Linked DNA regions of Ovis aries. The protein of the gene in region 2 purifies or fractionates together with the protein of the main gene of each other region. This does not show direct contact. Links are inferred from orthologs where the notes say so. Each region holds a gene or a part of one and is shown on either strand. Other genes may lie near its edges.

The links. The genes of interacting proteins can lie anywhere in the genome.
Region 1: the proteins of PALS1 (region 2) and PATJ purify together in Homo sapiens (co-immunoprecipitation; 5 studies listed by BioGRID and IntAct, counting the BioPlex papers as one, with this or other methods). This does not show direct contact. The link is inferred for Ovis aries from reciprocal best matches to the Homo sapiens genes PALS1 and PATJ.
Region 3: the proteins of PALS1 (region 2) and AMOTL2 purify together in Homo sapiens (affinity purification with mass spectrometry; 3 studies listed by BioGRID and IntAct, counting the BioPlex papers as one, with this or other methods). This does not show direct contact. The link is inferred for Ovis aries from reciprocal best matches to the Homo sapiens genes PALS1 and AMOTL2.

Annotation. Positions count from the first base shown.
Region 1 is NC_056054.1:37,092,489-37,096,143, reverse strand, and holds part of PATJ (inaD-like protein), read right to left. Parts: intron 3,495-3,655; coding exon 3,099-3,494; intron 1-3,098.
Region 2 is NC_056060.1:77,294,668-77,297,579, reverse strand, and holds part of PALS1 (protein PALS1), read right to left. Parts: intron 809-2,912; coding exon 632-808; 3' UTR 1-631. UniProt on the Homo sapiens protein: Plays a role in tight junction biogenesis and in the establishment of cell polarity in epithelial cells.
Region 3 is NC_056054.1:255,614,969-255,618,623, reverse strand, and holds part of AMOTL2 (angiomotin-like protein 2), read right to left. Parts: intron 1,569-3,655; coding exon 1,273-1,568; intron 293-1,272; coding exon 1-292. UniProt on the Homo sapiens protein: Regulates the translocation of phosphorylated SRC to peripheral cell-matrix adhesion sites. Required for proper architecture of actin filaments.

The sequences.
Region 1 (3,655 bases), on a different chromosome or scaffold from region 2:
ATTCTGAGCTGCAGAAAAAGAAGAGACACAGAAAAGTTTCCTATCCTCCCCTGGTTCTCAATCACCAAAGACGACTCTAGACTCTTTCCACCTCAGAGATGACGCCAAGAGAAATGTATACGACAAACATTACTAAAACAACCCTTATGTTCCATCAATTTCCCCCATAATGTTTACCTTCACACAGTAGCTAAGCCTAAAAGCCTGAATCCCTTTCCCTCTATCTTGACACTCGTCTACAAATGTACCGTCCTTCATTGAGATGCTGCATAAGCCCACGTTCTAACCCCTCCTTTGAGTGACCTATCACTGAGTTTTTCCTATGTGTGTGCATGCTGCAGGTGTTAATAAATTGTTTTTCTTCTGATAATCTGTCTTTCGTCAGTTTAACTTCCAGGGCCCTACCCAAAGGAACCTAAGAAGGTAAAGGAAAACATTTTTCTTTATTCACCTACACTCATCACTGTGGGAATATGGATGGGAAATGGGGAAAATAGCTAATGCCCATATGTCCAGAAAAACTATAATTCAAAAAGATCCATGCACCCCCATGTTCATAGCAGCACTATTCACAATAGCCAAAACATGGAAACAGCCTGAATGTCCATTGACAGATGAGTGGATAAAGAAGATGTTTAGATATAAGCAATGGAATACTACTCAGTCATAAAAAAGAACAAAATAATGCCATTTTCAGCAACATGGATGCAACTAGCAATTATCATACTAAGTAAACACCATATGGTATCACTTACATGAAATCTAAAATATGACACCAATGAACCTATCTATGACACAGAAACAGAACCATGGAAATAAAGAACAAATGGTGGTTGCCAATGGGAATGGAGTTGGGGAAGAGATGGCCCTCCTCCTGGTTGCAGTCAGTAGATATAAGCTTTTATAGATGAATGGATAAACAAGATCCTACTGTATAACACAGAGAACTATATTTAATATCTTATGATAAACCATAATGGAACAGGTAAAAATGTGACAAGGAAGCCTGGCATGCTGCGGTCTATGGGGTCACAAAGAGTCAGACACAACTTAGCCACTGAACAGCAATGTATGTATAACTGAATCATCTTGCTGTACAGCAGTAATTAACACAATACTGCAAATCAACTATACTTCAATTTAAAAGAGAGAGTTAATGCCCAAAAGCAGGAACATATAATTACTTAAAGAAAGAAATACTGTTTAGGTAAGACAATCTGTTAGGTAAGATTAGGTACTGTTAGGTACTGTTAGGTAGGATTAAAACAATCTTAATCAATGCCAGTTTAAGGAGCCTGTAGTTTCCTAAAGGTTACCTAGCAGAATCAGAAAGCTGGGAAGTTTAACAAAGTTAGTAACTAGGATGTGTATCGTTCAAACTGTGAGCACTGAATGTTGTTAAAACAAGCTTTATAATGAGCTTGATAAATAATAGAGGAAGTGGCTACACTGTGGATTGATTGGGTCATCAATATAAACTCACAAGAGGAATTTTTTTAAAACCTAACGTTACGTCATGATACTTGAGAATAATGATACTTGACTGATAGTATGGATTCAAAAGTTACTATATCTCAAACAACATAGATGGAAATGAAGATGGTATGGCTGAAAAACAGTATTGGAAGATCAAAAAGTGATTCTAGTAATAATGCAGACTCTGACATTAAATATGCATTGAAGGAATATGAGTAAAATTCCCTCATTAAATCCAAGAACAGGCAAACACCTGATATTTTACAGCTTTTAAAACAGGGACACTTAACTAAATATATAAAGTAAATATTATGAATATACTATTCATCTATATCTCTAAAGGTTTATATATTAAAATGGGACTATATTTCAGGTTGCCTTATATTTGAATAAATGGAAAAATTTATTTTTATAGAAGAAAACAGACATAACAAGAGTATTTATTTATATATTCATAATTTGCTCCATATAACTAAATATTCTGTTTGAGGTCAAACACTTAACAGACACAGGAGTGGGACTGAATGGGACTGGCGGAGATAGAAAGAACTAGTGTGAACAGCAACATACCAGGTGATTCTATGTCACCTCTTCCCTCATGATTCACATAATTCCAAAACATTTGTTCTCTGGTAGACTGCCCAGAGTCCAGTACCAAGGGTAATCCTCAAGGGTTCCTTAAATACATAAATATAGCATCTCGCATAGCAGAGAGACCCATAATGAAATGAAAAGGGGAGGAAGGTAGAAGGGAGGCAAGGACAACACCCAGCTATATCTGCCCTGTGAGGGAACAAACAAAGGCCACTTTGCACACCACTGCAGGGAAGTTGCTGACCTCACTGAGGAGGGTACCGTACTGTTCCGAACACACCGCTACGTACTCCATACAGAAAACTTTCTCTTCATTTGCTTGGAAGTTAATTTGGGTCAGGAAATAAACAAAAATAAAACATTAAAAACATCCCTACCAAAAGATTCCAGTTGGTGGCCAGCTAACCTTAATTTCATTTTTAAAAATAAGTTTACTGGTGATTTAATAGCAAGAGCAAACCTAGTAAATACAATGTTTTCCTGCCAAGTTGTCCACAGGCAGTATCACAAATGTAAAGATAATTTTCTAGAGTTCAGTGACTTCCTATTTAGTATTACATATAAAACAGAGGACAGTGTGGGTAGGCAAGACAGAAATAACAAATCTTTTAATCAATTTTGCCTTGATTTTTCTTGACAAACACATTATGTGAGAAATACAGAGCTATATCTCCCTGAGGGAATTTTTTTTTTTAATCACAAATGATGAAAGAACTCTTCCTTGAAATGGGTATCAGGAGGAAAACATCACTAAAAAGGCAAGGTTAAAACAACAACAACAAAAACCACATCATAACAGCAAAGCAACTGTAGCTTATTGACTCCAACTAGAAGTTATACAATAAAGAAATGATGAGCTTTTACTTAAAACCAACACATTGTATGGTACATATTTTGGGAAAAAAATGTTCAGTGATGAAAATATCCATTAAATTGTGTTTGTGTGTTTAAAAGTTACATGATTGATGCACAGAGATGGGGAGGGGAGGAGTCAGGAAGGATACGGAAAATGCATTCTAATCCCTTACCATTTCGTCCGGGTTACAGCCGCACTGTTGCATGTCCTGAGGATACATGCTCATCACGCGTCCCACTTCTTGAGGCTCGGGCAGTTCACGATCCGGGAACCACTGTGTACCAAAGTGAACCTCCTTCATGGACGGAACAGGAGCAGCTTCTTGAATGTGTGATGAGGGATACGACTCCAGGGACTGAAGTTGGTCTTGATAGAGCTCATATTCTTCATCAACAAGCATTTCTCTTTCTTCACCCATCTCCTGCAGCCTAGGGACCATGAATTCATGCATTTCCCAGGTCTCCTTGCTATTGTCTATCTCTTTTTGTTGGGACTGGAAAGCCTTTCCCAAATTTAGAAACGGTTCATCCACAAGCTCTTCTTTAAAATAGGGCTCATCTCTAAATCCCTGTGAATAAAAATTGCAAAACAAAACGAAACTTTAAACTCTGTCTTAAAGCTGCACTCTACACATTAACTAGAAAATTAACCCCTGGCATAACTGCAGTAACAGTATTATATGCCAATGCATGGTTAACCCAAACAGCTCTCCATTACAATAAAGGAAAA
Region 2 (2,912 bases):
AAGTTTGAGCTAAAAAATTGGTGCTTCTAATGGAATGTTTTTAAGAATTAAAAGACATATAAGTGAATTCAAGGCTAACAGAGTAGCTCCAGACCAAAGTGGCACCATTTTTTAAAAAAGTAAAGTAGTTCTGATGACTAAACCAGTCTTCTAACCAAATACTGTTGTCTTGCCCAGTGCACAGCACAGTTCCCCCTCACTCCCAAATTCTCATGAAATCATTTAAATTAACTGTTAAATAACATCAATATTTACTGCAGTGTGAAATACGGACCATTGTGTATATATACACGTTTTTGTGGAAATATGACTAGGCAGGAAAGATTTGGTTAGATGAAAACAGAATTAAAAGGCTTTTACCATGGATAAACTAGAACGGCTCTGTTGAAAACTTCCATTTAAAATCCCCATCTGAGGCAAGAACCTCTAAAGCCAGATACAGAGAGAATAAAGACTGCTGTTAACAAATTGCTTAAGGGGATTTTCTTCTCACTAATTCAAGATCTAAGAACATGTCTACAGTTTACACTGCCTGCCACCTTCTCAGAGACGTGCTCAAGTATCAGGGCTATCTTCCTATGGGCAGTCTGCCAGGTCAAGTCCAGTCCTGCTACAGAACGAATGCTTTTTTTCACCTCAGCCAAGTGGATGGCACCCACTGAGGTTCAGTGTCAAGTTTGTTAATCAACCTAAGCAGTTCCTGATAGGCTTTATCAAGATCTGAGTTCACAATTGCTGTGTCAAAGTAGTGGCCATTGTTCTGCTCCATCTCTCTAGTCTTCTCAATGATTTCTCTCAACTCTTCAGGCTGCAAAGAAAAGATGAAAAACTATGAGGTAAACCATCCCAAACTTCACAATGAGTCAGAGATGGGTGAAAAACAAGAAATGGCCTTAACATACTGCTTTCCTTCCGTCTCTCAAAATACTCAACTTCAGAGCTCCTCCCGAACCCTGTCATGTCCACAGAGATTCCCTTTGCTTTGGCCTCTTCAGCACACTCACTGCAAATCATTTGTGACTCAGTATAACGTATATAACCTATTTATGGGCTTCCCTTGTGGCTCAGCTGGTTAAGAATCTGCCTGCAATGTGGGAGACTGGGTTTGATCCCTGGGTTGGGAAGATCCCCTCGAGAAGGGAAAAGCTGCCCACTCCAGTATTCTGGCCTGGAGAATGCCATGGACTATGTGGTAGTCCATGCAGTGGTGAAGAGTCAGACACAACTGAGTGACTTTCACTTTCTTTTCATAGCCTGTTTATACTGCTCTGTAGGTTTTATGTGTTTCTGTCTTATCCACAAGAGGCTTCAAGAGCACAGACTATTAACTCTGAATTCTCTACAGACGCTCATTTTCAAACATTTTAGGTCATCATAACCTCCTCCTAAAACGTCTTCTGTAACAGAGTGAACTTTTCTGGCAGGACCCTAAATACCACCTATTCTGGCTCTTACAAAGAGCCTCTGCCTTTTCTATTGTGGAGTTTAAAAGAGTAAAACCATGAGAAAAGGATCAATAGAATGGGTATCTTTTTTTTTATGAAAACAGGCTGGAAAACCAAGATTTTAATAAGTATGTTTTTTTCGGAAATAGTTTAAAACTTTAAGTTGATAGACAATTTCAATACACCAAGGAGGTCTTTAAGATACAAAAACAAGTATCCTAAGAGTTTGGGAAGCCAAATAGAAGCAGGCTACTTTAATATGTAAAGGAAGCAAATGTTTTCACAGATAAGCAGATGGCAAGGTTATATGCAAAACTTATCCAGAACCCCTGATGATCAAGCACAGGTGTCCAAGAAAGTGAAACTGCCTCCAAAGCACCCCGTCAATGAAGAGAACTAATTAAATGTCCAATGTCTCAGCCACAGAGGCCATACATACAAAATATACTGGACCCACAGTATCAAGCAATTTATACCATTCAACCAGTCAAACTTTTATAACAGTAGGAAAACATACTAAAAATATGATAGCTCTGGCTTGTCCTGAGTTGGTTTCTTGTGTGGCTCTCTCTAATTTTCATTCTGGAATGTTGTGCAGCTGGCTCTGGCACACAGAATCCTTTGTTTCCCAGCAGGAAGCTACTACACCATTGTAACTGAACACACTGTGATGTTCTGGTCACAACTTATGTTTACCCAAAGCTCAAGGTTACTGAAAGAACATTCTAGAACTCAAAAGAGAATCTAAACTTTGTGTTACTAGATTTGAAATGTAAATGTTATTAAGCTGCACATCTTACATAGATTCACATGAGTATCTAATCCTAAATTTTTCCTTATCAAACAAGTATTATTTTATCTTTTGCCAAAAATGACATATAATTTATTTGGTACTTTAATTCTTTTACAAGTCACAATGAAATTGAAACAAAATGATTTTGCTCAAAAATCTCTGGCCTGAAAAAATTATCTATAGGCAAAATTGACCATGATAATTCACACTATTAGTTTACCACTCTTAAGACCCCATTATAGCAAAACCAGATTCAGAATGTAACAAGATAACTGATTATTTAAGTTGTGCATTCAGTGACGAACACCATTACTCTCTTAGCTAACACTATTTCACAGAGTTAAAATTTAGGATCAGTTTTTACTTAACACTTCTACTGTGTGATAAGCATTATTAATTACCAAAGGAGATAAAACATAAAAAGCAATCAGATACATCACCCTTTACCCAACAGCTGCAAAATATACACTCTTACTGGTGTGCAGGAACATGTGCCAAGACAGAACAGATACTGGGTCATAAAATAAGGCTCAACAAAATTTGAAAGACTGACATCTTATAGAATATGTTCTCTTACCACGATGGAATTATACAACAATAAAACATTCTAAAATCTCCAATAGAGAGAAATTAGATACTTCTAAATAACCCATGGATTAAAGAAAGAAAATGAC
Region 3 (3,655 bases), on a different chromosome or scaffold from region 2:
GATGCCTGTGGCCGCCGGTGAGCAGGCCCTCGTTGAAGCTGCTGCTGGGCGAGGGCTGGGGCGAGTGCCGGATGAGAGTGGTGTCGCGCTGGGCGGCAGCCGTGGCGGCCGCATCCATGGCGAACTGCCTCATGGCACGTTCCTCCAAGTACTTCTGTTCCCACTTGGTCATGTCAGCTTCCAGCGCCAGCACCTGTTCCTCCTTCTCCCGCAACTGCTCCGACAGCCGCAGCGCACTGAGCTCCGGGGTCCCACCACTGCCACCGCCACCTCCGGGGGGGCCTGCCTGTCTCTGCAGAGAGAGGGGTACCGTGGTCAGGGGTGGAGGGTGGGGTGTGTTGGCTGCAGGTCCTCACGGCCACGTGAGGAACCTGAGGCCAGTGCTTGGTCAGCTGGCACCACGCACTCTGCCCAGCCTCCTTCCAGCTGGAGACAGAGGGGAGCCACAGGGCCCCACAGCCTTGCCCCAGAGCCTGTGGCCAAAGGTGCAGAGGAGATTGGGTTTGCTTTTGCATAGTGACCATATACACTGTCCTCCAAACTGGGGAAGGGGTGACTTAATGACATGGGAAAACTGGTGTAAACAGGACAGACCCCGGCAATCCAGGAGCTCTGGTCACCCTGCCTCTGTGGGAAGGGTGAGGCTAGGAGTGGAGACAGGACTCTATCTGGTCTATAAACACGAGAGCGATTTACACAGTCCAAAGTGAGGATAAAGGCCCAGGATCTGGGTGACTATCTTCCCCACCTCCGATCTTGGGGAGACATATAAGAGCTGGCTAGTCCCCACTCCAGCACTCTTGCCTGGAAAATCCCATGGACAGAGGAGCCTGATAGGCTGCAGTCCACGGGGTCGCTAAGAGTTGGACACAACTGAGCGACCTCACTTTCATGCATTGGAGAAGGAAATGGCAACCCACTCCAGTGTTCTTGCCTGGAGAATCCCAGGGACGGGGGAGCCTGGTGGGCTGCCGTCTATGGGGTCGCACAGAGTTGAACACAACTGAAGTGACGCAGCAGCAGCAGCAGTCCCCTCCATCACAGCTCCTGAGAGACTTTCTCCAGAGACCAAGGGTGCCAATCCCAGCTGCTGCTGAGGATAGAGGCCCAAGGCTCGAGTCCCTGAGGTCGGCACACGGTCAAGGGGCAAGGCTTCTGCTGAGACTGATGGGCCAGGAGGGGACTTCCGTAAGGTTGGCCCAGGTGGTCCTAACTTTCCAAGAGGGCTCGGCCTGGATCTCAACAGGGGCTCCTGGGGTCTTCCCAGCTCACCTGCTGTGCACGAAGGGCCTTGAGTTCCTGCTCCAGGCGCGTCCGCAGACGTAGCTCCAGCTGCTCACGCTTCTCGCAGGCAGCCTGCAGCTGCCCCAGGGCCTGCTGTAGCCGCTCCACCTTCTCCACGTAGGCCTGCTTTCTCCGTAGCTCCTCCTCAGCTCTTGCCGCCCGACCCTGTGCGTTGCTCAGGGCCTGCTCCAGCAGCTCGGCCCGCCGCCGCTGGTCCTCAATGGCTCCGCGCAGCAGTGCCATCTCCCGCTCTAGCTGCTCCTGCTCCTGCTGCTGCTCATAGCCTGCAGCGAGAGAGGGAGGGGCCCGGTCAGGGGCGGCAGCTCCCTCGCTGCCCCACAGAGCACCCACAGGTGCCATGCTCTGTGCTGACCGCTGCTCAAGCTTGACTGCATCTTCTCAGTAACACAGGAGTTAGGTACCCTTATTAACCCCATTGTATGGGCCAGGAAACTGAAGTTTAGGTTAAGGCCTGAGCAAATGGGAATGTCAGACCAGGACCCTTGCAGTGATAACTGGGCCACACTGCTTCTCTGCTGGGACGTGGCCTTGCCAGGAGAGAGCGAGAGACACTGTCCACCTGTGCTGGGTGTCACACCTCCAAAACACATTCACAACTTCCCTCCAGCCTCATGGTGATACCAGAGACTGGGCAGGCAGGAACCGCGATGCCCATCTCCAGATGAGAAAACGGAGGCTCAGGTGGACTGTCACGTGGTCATCATCCAAGTGGGAGAAGCACCGTGTGCTGCCCCAGGAGTCAGGCATCTACACATCTTATTCCCCTGAAGCCTCCAATGACAGTCTGGGATCTGGGATCCCTACCTTCAAGAGGAAGAATCATAGGAGGTGAATGGTGCTACCAGGTGGGGATCAAAGTTAGCCTGCCTCTGAAGAACCAGGCTGCTTGGGTATGGCGTGAGGCCCTCGTACTCAAGAGGCCTCAGAGCTTATTCTGTGAAACCAGGCACCCCACCCCACCCCTAGTGTGCAGGCTGCCTGCCCTGCTGGAAGGCAGAGGGGGACCTGTCATGGGGCCTGCCTGATGGACCCAAAGGCACCATCTCTAGAGCAGCACTGTCACAGCAGAGTGGAATTTTCTGCTGTAATGGACTTGCTCTACGCTGTGCCAAGCAGGGCAGCAGCCACTAGGCACATGTGGCCAGTGAGCACTTGCAATAGTGCCAGGGAGGAATCAAATTTTTCATTTTATTTCATTTTAATTAATTTTAATCTTTGGGCCACGTGTGGCTAAATACCTATCAGATAGGACAGTATAGACTCTGGAACAGAAGAGAATTACACAAGGCCCTGGGGCAGAGAAAGAGGACACAGGCCACCCAGGTCAGCTCTGGTTCACTCTGAATTTTTGAAGGCTGGGCCCAGGCCCACCTCATTCTTTGGGGTGAAGGGAAAAGTTGGCGAAACTCAGTAACACTGGGCCTCTCATCCTGAGCTGGCCTGACACCTGAATTGGGTGGAGGGGGCAGGCAGGAGTGCTGACTGGGACTTTGGGCCCAGAGACAATGGCCCTGTCCTGGGAGGCTTCACAGAGATGGACAGCTTATAGAGTTAGCCGGAGGCTGGCAGCTCATCCCAGTCTTAGATGGTCCCATCTTACAGCCTCAGAATCTGAGGTTCGGGTGAGAAGAAACTGCCCAAAGGGGACTCGGCTTGGGAGAACCAGGCCTCAGGACTCATGGCCAGATGCCCAGGGTGGGCAGGGCCTGACCAGAGCTGGGAGTCTGTACTGCTTGCCTACTAGGAAAACAGACAGCACTGGCGATCGGGGCCACAGTCTCCTACTAGCGCTAACTCTGGAAAACAGGTGAGCTCAACCACAGACATTTTCCCTGAGGATTCTTGCTTCTGGATGTCAGGAGCAAGGAAGGGTAGTTTGGCTTTCCTCAGCCCTTGGGGACGGTACCAAGGGCCCAGCCTTTGGCTTCCAGAAGGTTCCTGCTGCCTTGCACATCTCTAATACCCTGGTGGCTTCCCTGGTGGTTCGGACAGTAAAGAATCAGCCTAAAATGCAGGAGACTCAGGTTTGATCCCTGGGTCAGGAAGGTGCCCTGGAGAAGGGAATGGCAACCCACTCCATTATTCTTGCCTGGGAAATCCCATGGACAGAGGAGCCTGGCTGGCTACAGTCTATGGGATCGCAAATAGTCGTAAGCGACTGAGCAACTAACACTTTGAAGGCCCTGGTAGAGCTCGGAGGCTTGAGACCTTGGCCATCCCCAGCCACCAGGATAAAACTGGGGGGAGGGTGCCGCCGCCTCCAGGCTGGGGTGGGAGCAGATTCGAGAGACACAGAGCGGGGCCATGGGCTGGGGAGCAGTGGAGGGAGCAAGAGGCCTTCCATGGGGGC